2 linked regions of the Drosophila melanogaster genome follow. The protein of the gene in region 2 purifies or fractionates together with the protein of the main gene of each other region. This does not show direct contact. Each region holds a gene or a part of one and is shown on either strand. Other genes may lie near its edges.

Evidence for each region.
Region 1: the proteins of kel (region 2) and hts purify together in Drosophila melanogaster (affinity purification with mass spectrometry, with the first as the bait; one study listed by BioGRID). This does not show direct contact.

What each region holds. Positions count from the first base shown.
Region 1 is NT_033778.4:19,421,799-19,426,717, forward strand, and holds the start of hts (hu li tai shao), read right to left. Parts: upstream 3,106-4,919; 5' UTR 3,025-3,105; intron 2,317-3,024; exon of another isoform or gene 2,000-2,316; 5' UTR 1,796-1,999; intron 1-1,795. Other genes in the region: CalpA (Calpain-A), read left to right, coding at 4,247-4,420, 4,549-4,593, 4,832-4,919. UniProt on the Drosophila melanogaster protein: Required for assembling actin at ring canals in developing egg chambers. Probably interacts with other developmental proteins involved in nurse cell/oocyte transport through the ring canals. Important for normal neuromotor function.
Region 2 is NT_033779.5:18,134,894-18,139,777, forward strand, and holds the start of kel (kelch), read right to left. Parts: upstream 3,191-4,884; 5' UTR 3,039-3,190; coding exon 2,584-3,038; intron 1,083-2,583; coding exon 681-1,082; intron 1-680. UniProt on the Drosophila melanogaster protein: Component of ring canals that regulates the flow of cytoplasm between cells. May be involved in the regulation of cytoplasm flow from nurse cells to the oocyte during oogenesis. Binds actin.

The sequences.
Region 1 (4,919 bases), on a different chromosome or scaffold from region 2:
CACTTTTTTTTAGCGGAAGCAATCGTTTTTGTATTATTTTTGTTGTCTTTTTACACTGAGTCTGCTTCACCTTTTCAGTATTCGTAGTGCAAATGGAATTCAATACAAATAATGCCTCAACGATTTTCGAAAATTCTCTAAATGCAACTTGCGGTGTGCAAAAAACCTCAATTGAAACCCTCAACCAACGAGTCACGTCTAATTTGCGAATTGAAAACGGACAACAGAGCAAGAGGAACAAGTGAAAAGCTTGATAAGGGGTGATAAAGGGGGAGGCAGCATAAGCAATGAATAAATAAAGCCCACTGCCCATGTATTTCTATGAGTAAATTCGAATTAGCAACAAAAGCCAGCAAACAAAAAGAGCAAATTTTTATTTTATTTTTTTACCTTTTTTATAAGCAATGTGTGCGAAATGACGTCATGTATCGCAAAATATGTAGCTAAGGCAAATGGAATGCTCGAATTTGATATGATGAGTATATAGAACAGGAAGTAAGGTAATAGAAATCGAAGAATGTTGTAAATAGGTAGGTAGTTAGTTGGTGGCAAAGGAGAAATTCCTTATAACTTAAATTGGGAATGTTGTTGGCTTGTTGTAATGTGGATATGTAGGTACTTGTATAGAAACAGCAATCTAACAAGAAAACGTAACCAGCGCGAAGGTTCTGATAAGATTGCGGGAGAGCACACACACAATCGAACTCCTATGACTTGCATAAGAACATCTATAGAAGGCTATATATAAAACAAAGTTTTATAGGAAACATTGCTAATTTAAATTATATTAAATTCTATAAGCGTAATGTTTCATTTAAGCATAGCGCATTGAATTGGGTTAAAGAATAATTAAAGTAAAAGGTTATCAATTCCTATTCGTTCAAGATTACAATAAATTACAGAAATATCAAGATGGGCTCTGAATGACAACAAAAAATTTAAAAATCGAACTGACTGAGTATCAAGAACTACCTCCGATACCTATAAAGTCTATTTTGTAGGCATTGGGTTGCACTGACAAATGGCATAAACAAGTTTTCAATATTTACAAATCTGTTTATCACTTGTTGCTGCTTTTCACTATTTACTTTGCTGAAAGGCGAGAGACCAAGGAGGAAAAGTGGGTCATGAAACTTGCCCACAGATGCGCGCCAGCAGGCGGATTTATTGCCCAAGTGCATTAGGCACACGGCTAGAGATTTGCAAGTGGCATTCGCAACAAATTGCCAAATAAAAGATGAATAAAATCAGCGACGAGAATTGGAAAATGGGTTTTTTTTTTAATCTGACAAGCGCATAGAAAGCCGGAGGTAGAAAGAAGCATGAATCATATGGAAAGGAAAAGCACACGCACACACAATCACACCCACCCGAAAAAAGAGAAAGAGAGAAGAAAAGTGGCTAGAACTAGAAGCTCAAACAGTGGCGTCTGAATGGGGGTCAATGTGGTGCTACACCTTAAACATTTGCTCATATTTCCGGATAAATTTAAATATAATATGTTCTTGATCTTAAATGACATTTATGACCCCTGAATAATAATCTGTAGTTTCGCCACTGTCTATGAAGCATAACAACAAAATAGACACACTACTCACTCACACACGCCGTGTTGCGTGAGCTTGACCAAACCCAAAAAACAAAAACAACACTTATTAGAGAAGCACAAAAGATGGCGTCACCGGCCGAATTGCCGCTCATCGTCATAACGGTTAAAACGAATGCAGGGCACGAGGGGACATTCACTATTTAACGGGATTATAACACATCATCCGGTAGATGCAAGAATACTCACCGGTACTTTTAGTATTCTTTTAAATTCGTTGATCCTCCAGTGGCCGCTAACACAGGCACAGGTCACAAATACAACGGTCACACTCACTGTATGTGTTAGAGGAGAAACGCACGCGTTTTTTATAAATGTATTCTCGCTCTCGCACCTCGGTTTTTGGTTTTCAGCCGCTAATTCGTACAAACACACATACGCCACAGAGGGAGACTATCAATAAAAGGGGAGGGAGAGGGTAGAAAATTTTAATAGATTTAACTTTTTATTGCCTTGAATGCAATATGTTTAAAATAAATAATTTTGTTCTCTTTTGGGCTTCTTGCACTACACCAAATAACTGTTAATATTTTTTTTTTTGCAAAATTGCCGCTCCTAACAGCACTTAGCACTTTTAATTCTTTGAATTAAATTTTAGTTGCACCGCAGCGAATAAATATTTCAAGTTGAATTGCCTACGAGAACTTAATCCAAAATCGTACGGACACGTCCGACGGGCAGAGCACGAATGAAGCGCAAAAGAGAACTGCGCACGGACAGTGGCAAAGAAGCCGAGAGAGAGAGGGCGGGCAGTGTTAGGCAACGTCAAGTGGAGATGTTGAAAACAACTAAACTGAAGTAACTTCCAGACAAACTGGCTTCCAAACGGGGTTAACTAAATTCGGTAAACAATCGAAAAGCATTAGTTTGCCTTGCAAATCACTCAAATTGCGCAAAAGTGTTCAAGAGAATACGAGAAGAGAGCGAAGGAAAGTGGGAGAGAGAAAGAGAGTTCTTCATCCTGCAACGCCCAAATATACACGCTTGTGTGTGTGCGAGAGAGTGTATGGGGAGGAACGAATATTTGGAGCAAAGCGCAGGGGAAAATAGCGGTGCAAGTCCTTTTTGCCACCTTGACCACAAACAAAAAACGCCTTTTTTGGCGCTCTCTTCGCACTTTTAGGTATTCTTCGCACAAAAACTATGTCAATTAAGCCGCACACGTCGATTATGTCATATTATTTATACGAATACACTTTCACACACAAGCGCCGCGCCATATACACACATTCGTGTCCGTGCGTGTGTGTGTATGAACGGCGTCGCATTCTCGTCACCGGCAATGCCGTGAAAAAATCGATGGTCAATTTGCTGTACGGGTGTATTCGCCTCTATTTTCTCGTTTCATTTAATAAAGTCTATCACTAATTTTAGAAGCCCACTAATTGGTCAATGGGTTCGATAAAACCACTGCTTACAATTTGTAAATGCTGAACTTCACGAAATTTCGCCCGCGTGATGTGTTTCGTTTTCGATATTTCGTACTACGATTTTGTTAGGGATGGACAAACCTGACGCATGTCAATGGGTCGATATTTGTTTGAAATATCGATGCTCTTATCGAAATATTTTTCAGTAAAATCGGGCGATTATCGATATATTTACATTGAAATAGGGCTGGCAAATCACAAATTTCGGCAAAATACTTCGATAAAAATAAATACCAAAACATTCGATAGCAGTCAGGTGTTGAGCTACAGATATAAATATTTGTAGTGAGTAAATATCTCCGTGCGGTGAAGGTGCGTGGTTCCGTTACTTTATTGTTGTGCTGTGATTTTGGGGAGTGAAAGTGCGTGATTCGATTCGGAAATCGTTCTCTCGACCAATCAAGGTCCGTTGGAAAATGGGCAAATATATATAGTATTAGAAATATCAAGTGCCTATGACGAATATACTATTCTTTACGAAAATATGGTGGTCACGGGAATGAGCCAGGCCAGAAGAATGCATTAATTACCAAACCTGTTTGGGTTTCGCCGTAGAATTACCAATGTTCGCAAATACAATAACAGATGGGTCAGCCAATCTAGCATATTTCGCCCCAATTAAAGGCCAATTTACTATTGTCACAGAAATATATACCCTATATGTGTCGTACATATGTAGTAGTTCCATGGGTCAATGTCAATATCCCGGCTTAATATGGATAAAAAACGAAGCTTAATCTCCCGAATGGCGCACACCCTTTGAGTCACTAGAGAATCTCATGCTTCCGAATGATGTCACACAATATAGCATATATATATAGCGGCTACATATGTATAAATACAGCATTGTATATGTAGAAACATTTGAATTATATTTGGGTGCGAACCGAGACATTCTTGTCTCCAAAGTATAATTTCAGTTTGCGTGAATTAAAGTAATTTCATTTAGCCCGACTTCCAGTCACACTGGGAATACTAACGATTCTGTAATGCTCGTTAAACCATATTTATGTCTCTGGGTGTGCTTTTAATTCCACCGCGAGGCTTATAAGTAAATATGGGCGATATAAAAAATATTGGATGTTGCTAACTAGTCATCAAATGTTTGAACAATAAATATTTATTAATGGGTTTTTAATCTGAGGCGGCACCTTACACTGCTAACTGATATTAAACTATATATGTACATATATTTTCAGATATCTGCACGATGGACGACTTGAGGGGATTCTTGAGGCAAGCGGGACAGGAGTTCCTCAATGCAGCTGGTGAGGCTGCAATGGGAGCGGCCAAGGATGTGGTCGGATCGGTGATCAACGAGATCTTCATCAAGAAGGAGGCCGACACCAAGAGGGTTCTGCCCAGCATCAAGAATATGAGAGTTGTAAGTTGACCCACACGGTTATCAACAGTTATTTATAGGGCGCTATACTATACTAAACAAACATAGAAAACAATCCATTGAAATCTACATATGCATGTTAACAAATACATATACATTCCACTCATTAGCAACCATTGCAATCTCAAAGTAATAGTACGTTGTACTATGGGAACGTAAGTACCTACTCCCGTCATCGTAATGGCATTGACATAATTCCATTCCAAGGATAATGCGCTGCCAAAGTGTCGTACTGTGTTGTCCTTGTGTTCTTTTTCTTTCGCATGTAAAGTGTAAAACGCATCATCGTTTATACAACTCCATTACACAACTTTATCGTGTACATACATAATACTCTTAATCAAGTTCATCAATTTTGTTAGATTCATATCACTAATAGCATGTATTTTTTAGCTGGGAGAGAAGAGCTCGAGCCTGGGACCCTATTCCGAGGTGCAGGACTATGAGACAATATTGAACAGCTGCCTGGCCAGTGGTTCCC
Region 2 (4,884 bases):
ATTTAATTAATCGCAACCGGTTCAATGGTTTATATTGCACATTTGCTTTCGGTTTTGCGTCTGTTTACTGTTATATAAACTTAATAATTAACTAATTTTGTTTCTGCCTGATGAAATCAATGAGAACTTATATAATTCTGATACTTTGGTTATTACTAATTCAGTAGTTGAATTCGAAAATATAATTAATATAAGATTAAATTCGTGATCTTATGGAAACCCAAAATTAGCGACTTCAAACAGATGCTGGAAGACACCAATGCGTGACTGTTAAACTATTTAAATTTTGATACATTCCAAACACACCTAGGAATTTAATCGTTTTTATAATATAATTAAAAATCCTTTTTGTTGAGTCTAAGGAACTTTAACTTGACACATGTTATTAAATGTTACTATAATTATTAAAATATCTGATCCCATTAATCGATTCAATTGATATTGTTGTACGGCAGCTTTCTATCCTCAATAAATAATAAATAAATAGTCACTTCACTGGAATTTAAATACGAATTACTATCCGTAGATATAGAACAAACTAAAGTGAGTCTTCCCAATATACATGCTCTAAAAGTGAACACTGAACAGATACAGTAATGGATTCCTATCTGTAAACAGGCAAATCAAAACAATTTTATATTTGTCTGCCCATACTGCGTCATCACAATCTAGCCACTTACTTGAAATGCTGCTCGATGTAGGTCTCTGCGTAATTGAGAAGTTCCACGCAGGCATGAATATCGGCAAACTCCCGGATGCCGAGGCAATTACTGGCATCCAACTGAGTTTGCAGGAAGTCGCAGCAGGCATCTCGCACATCCGTGAGCTGGAGCAGGTTGGCGGCGGTCAAGAGGACTTGCACGTTATCCTCGTTTACCTCCACCGTGGCAGTGTATACGTAGTCGATGAGCAGCTCCAAGGCCCGAGCATCGACACTCTGGAGGGTGATCCTCGCCTGCCGCGACTCCTCGAAACTGGTGAACATCGCATAGAAGTACGGACTGCAGGAGGCCAGCACCATGCGGTGAGCGTGGATCTCCACATCGTCGGCCACCAATATCACATCACAGAGCTGTTTTTGTCTGTTATAGGTAAAAATATATATATATCAGATTTGATACATTTTTTTGTACGCAGTAAATTGGTTAGTAACCGTCATGTATCGACAATATTGAGACTTTGAAATCCACTAGCAATAGATCGTTTTGATTGCCAAATAAACAGTTTAAAAGCGTGCTAAATATCTTCAAGGCTGGTATGTATGTTTGTAAACAAAAGTGCTTGAATTTTTTCAAGAGGAAAATATTTTGTTTTGTAAAAAGAGACGGGGATGCTATTAACTGTGCAAATTATGGCGCCATTAAATGATGATGACTACTCGAAAAGACTAAGATCTTTTGTCTTCAAAATCGTAAGGTGTTATAATTATAACCCAATAAAAAAAATCTCATAGAATATACACCTCACGAAATATTTGTGTGATTCAATTCCCAATCAAAAAGCAATCCACATTACAACGCTCGGCTTACTTTTTGGGTTATACCACATTCACTTTCGCGCCGAATACGATATGATTGGTCCGAAAAAAAAAACTCGTTTTATGTAAGCTACCAATAAATTTTCCATACGCCCAGTAGTTTTCCAAAAAGTAAGCAAAGGCGGAGACGCGGAAGCGGAATCGAAATGCGATTCGAAAACGAATATCATTTTTGGCCGCAACCAAGTTCAAGGTCGTGGCCCAATGCGAAACCCGAAGGCGTAAGCAACTCATCATAATAAAAACTAGACAATAATTAATGCGAATGGCCCCACGACAAAAGCGGCGGCAAATATTCGTTTATACATATGTAGTGTGCAAACACAAATATTAGCAACGGCCAGATAAACAAAGCGAACTGCGCAAATATGCGAGAGACGATCATCTGACATTTTCAGAGATTTTATTTTCGCATCTTGGCCCAAATCTCAAAGCTCGAGAGCCAGTCGGTCCACCTGTTCCCGTCGAACACGCAGGGATTGAATCATGCGCCTTTGTCCGGGAACAGAGGAGATGAGTTTATAATAGAGTGTAGTTAGCACAGTTCTATTTATATTAAGTTGAGGTAGGTCGTCATATTTAACAACTGAAAGTTTTAGTGGTAGAAACTCAGATCAGCTTGTTTTGTCAAGGAAATAGTAACTGGGAAATAGCTGACACCTTTTTAGAACCTGAACGAACGTTCAGCTGGTTTGCTGTTGAGCAAACAAATGACATTTGAAACATTTTTCGAACCGTTGTAGGTGTGCTTATTTACATAATCAGGCTATAAAATCACATAGATCTAATTCTGCATATCATTAAAAGTCCTATGTGGGTGCTGTGTGTTCTATTCTCCAGGGCAGGTACAAAATAACCAATGTTCTACCTAAGGTTTTTAAAACCTCTCACAGGTAGGAATTAGGATATAATACTATTTGTGGATCTAAATATACTGCCTTAAGGTCTTTAGAAACCCTGGCTACTTCTTTATGATGCTTAAGGACTTAACCAAATTTTATAGTCGTACGAACTGATCCTTCGACAGGATCTCGTGCCATCCTTACTTTCTCATCTCGTTCATGGCGTCGAAGGAGCGCGCCGTATGCTGTTCATTGCTGTACTGCCCCACAGTGCCGCGCTCCTTGCCATTTGGCCGCTGGACGTGCTTCTGGGAGCTCTCGTCCAGGGAGTTCTGGCTGGCGTAGCGCAGAAGGCAGCTGCCCCGCTCCAGGCCACTTCCCTCGGCGGCGGGATTCTGATGGTGGTGGTGCTGCTGCTGTTGCTGCTGCAGCAGGCGGTTGCGCTGCTGCATGGCTGCCACGCCCACTGCGGCACCTAGTCCGGGCGGTGGCGCCACGAACTCCGCTCCCGCTCCGCCTTCATTCTGTGCTGGTTGTTGTGGGTTCTGACCCTGTTGTTGTTGCTGCTGCTGCTGGTTGTTGTTGTTGCTGTTGCCATTGCTTAGGTTGCTCATAATACCGATCGTATATTTGGTTAGCAGCGCACTCAGAGCTATCATCCGAAACGGATCGGAAACGGAAGTCGCAGCGAATCGAAGGTGCCTCGCCTGGTCCGAAAAAACAAACCGAGGTGGTGAAAAATTGTACACTTTTTGGACGCGACCAGAGCAGTGTGACCAGCCTCGGGTTGGTCGCAAGTTACCACTAGCGATGAATACTCATCGATAGTCCGATAGGCATTTTCAACCAGTTCTCACTGAGCTGGCTTTGTTTCCAACTATAAAATTAATGATAAAGTCATTTAATTTTTGAATTTTTGTAATTCACTTGAATTACATCTTAAATATGACCTCTCCCCTTTAATTTTTATTTATACGTACGTTTCAAAAAGTGTGATTTTTAAATTGATATACAAACTAATATTCCACATTTACCTAAACTTAAAAAAAGCATACCTAATTCATCTTATAAAAATATATAAATAAAATTGCAAAAAGATTACAAATATGCGACACAGAATTCATTAAGATTGCATATTCGAATTCCATAAAAGAAAGTAAAAAAGGTTTAGTTCAGCATAATCTTGATAGAATATCTATAGATATTTTATAGATATAAAATAAAATAAATAGAAATCTATAGATTTTAGTTGATTACTCTCATTTTATAAAGAATTCACGACTTTATAATGAAAATAACGAATGAGTTAAACATTCATTTGTTAAAGATATTAAAATACATCAATCATTTGGGTTGATTATGATTCCACACTTCTGATTCAAAACACACTTTGAGATTTTTTCTAATATCTTGATCAACTTTATTTGTTTGACTCTTTTTTCGATTTTGTTTTTGAATATTGATACGCATGCTCATCAACATGTGAGATATGTAAAATACATTAAATAGGTATTGGAAACAACTGCTTATTGAATGTTTACGAATAACAGCAACCACCTAGGTAGGAATACATGATTTATAATTCATTATATTAATATAGCTACAGCTTAATGCGAAAATCGGTAGTATTTACAAATGCTCTACACGTGTACAACTGACGGGTTTTTTCTTTTTAAACAAAGCACTCGCTTGCGAACGAAATCACTTCGAATAAATAAATAAAGTATATTCATAAATAGGCGAAAATTACATTTGGAAATTTGGCTAATGAGAGAGTTTTACACTAACTAAGCTGCATTCGTATCTCGTATTTACACGTAACAGTAACACATCATTTAGATTCCATACTTCAAATAAATACAATGAAATATTACAAGAATACCAGCGATTACGAAAAGCTCGATTGGCCCTTCTTTTTGCAATACTTATGTGTGTAGGAGAGAGGGTTGCTTTAGATAATAATACTTAGTTTATAGTACAATTAGCTAACTGCGATTTCGATTCTACATTCTACCAGCTCGCTTTCAAGAGTGCCACAACTCAAAAATCCGTCCGAGCTGCATTCCAATAGGTGAGATATATATGGTGAACATTTGGTTTTTGATCCATGACAGTCTTGTAGTAGCGAGCTAGCGATTTTGTTATGTGGCTTCGCGTTTGATCTTTTAACTTATGGTGGCGGCACACGCTGCACTGGGATTGTCTCAGTTTGAGTTTTGGTTTCTGGGTTCTGTTTGCCCCTCCGTCCACGTCCTGATCCTCAGGAGGAGTTGGAGTGACGCTCCGGCGTGGCGACAGTCTTCTGGTAGCAATTCAGATTGGCCGACATCCGACCAAAGGCGGCTGCCATGCGGTTGGGCAGCCTGCTGAGGTGCTCCTGAAGATTGGACGATCTGGATGAGGACGGAGCCGATGGGCCCGACGCCGTGGTGACCTGCTGCAGCTGGGCCACCACCTCGGCGTGCTGAACGTAGGAGACCCGTATGTTGACCCCCTCGTCGTCGT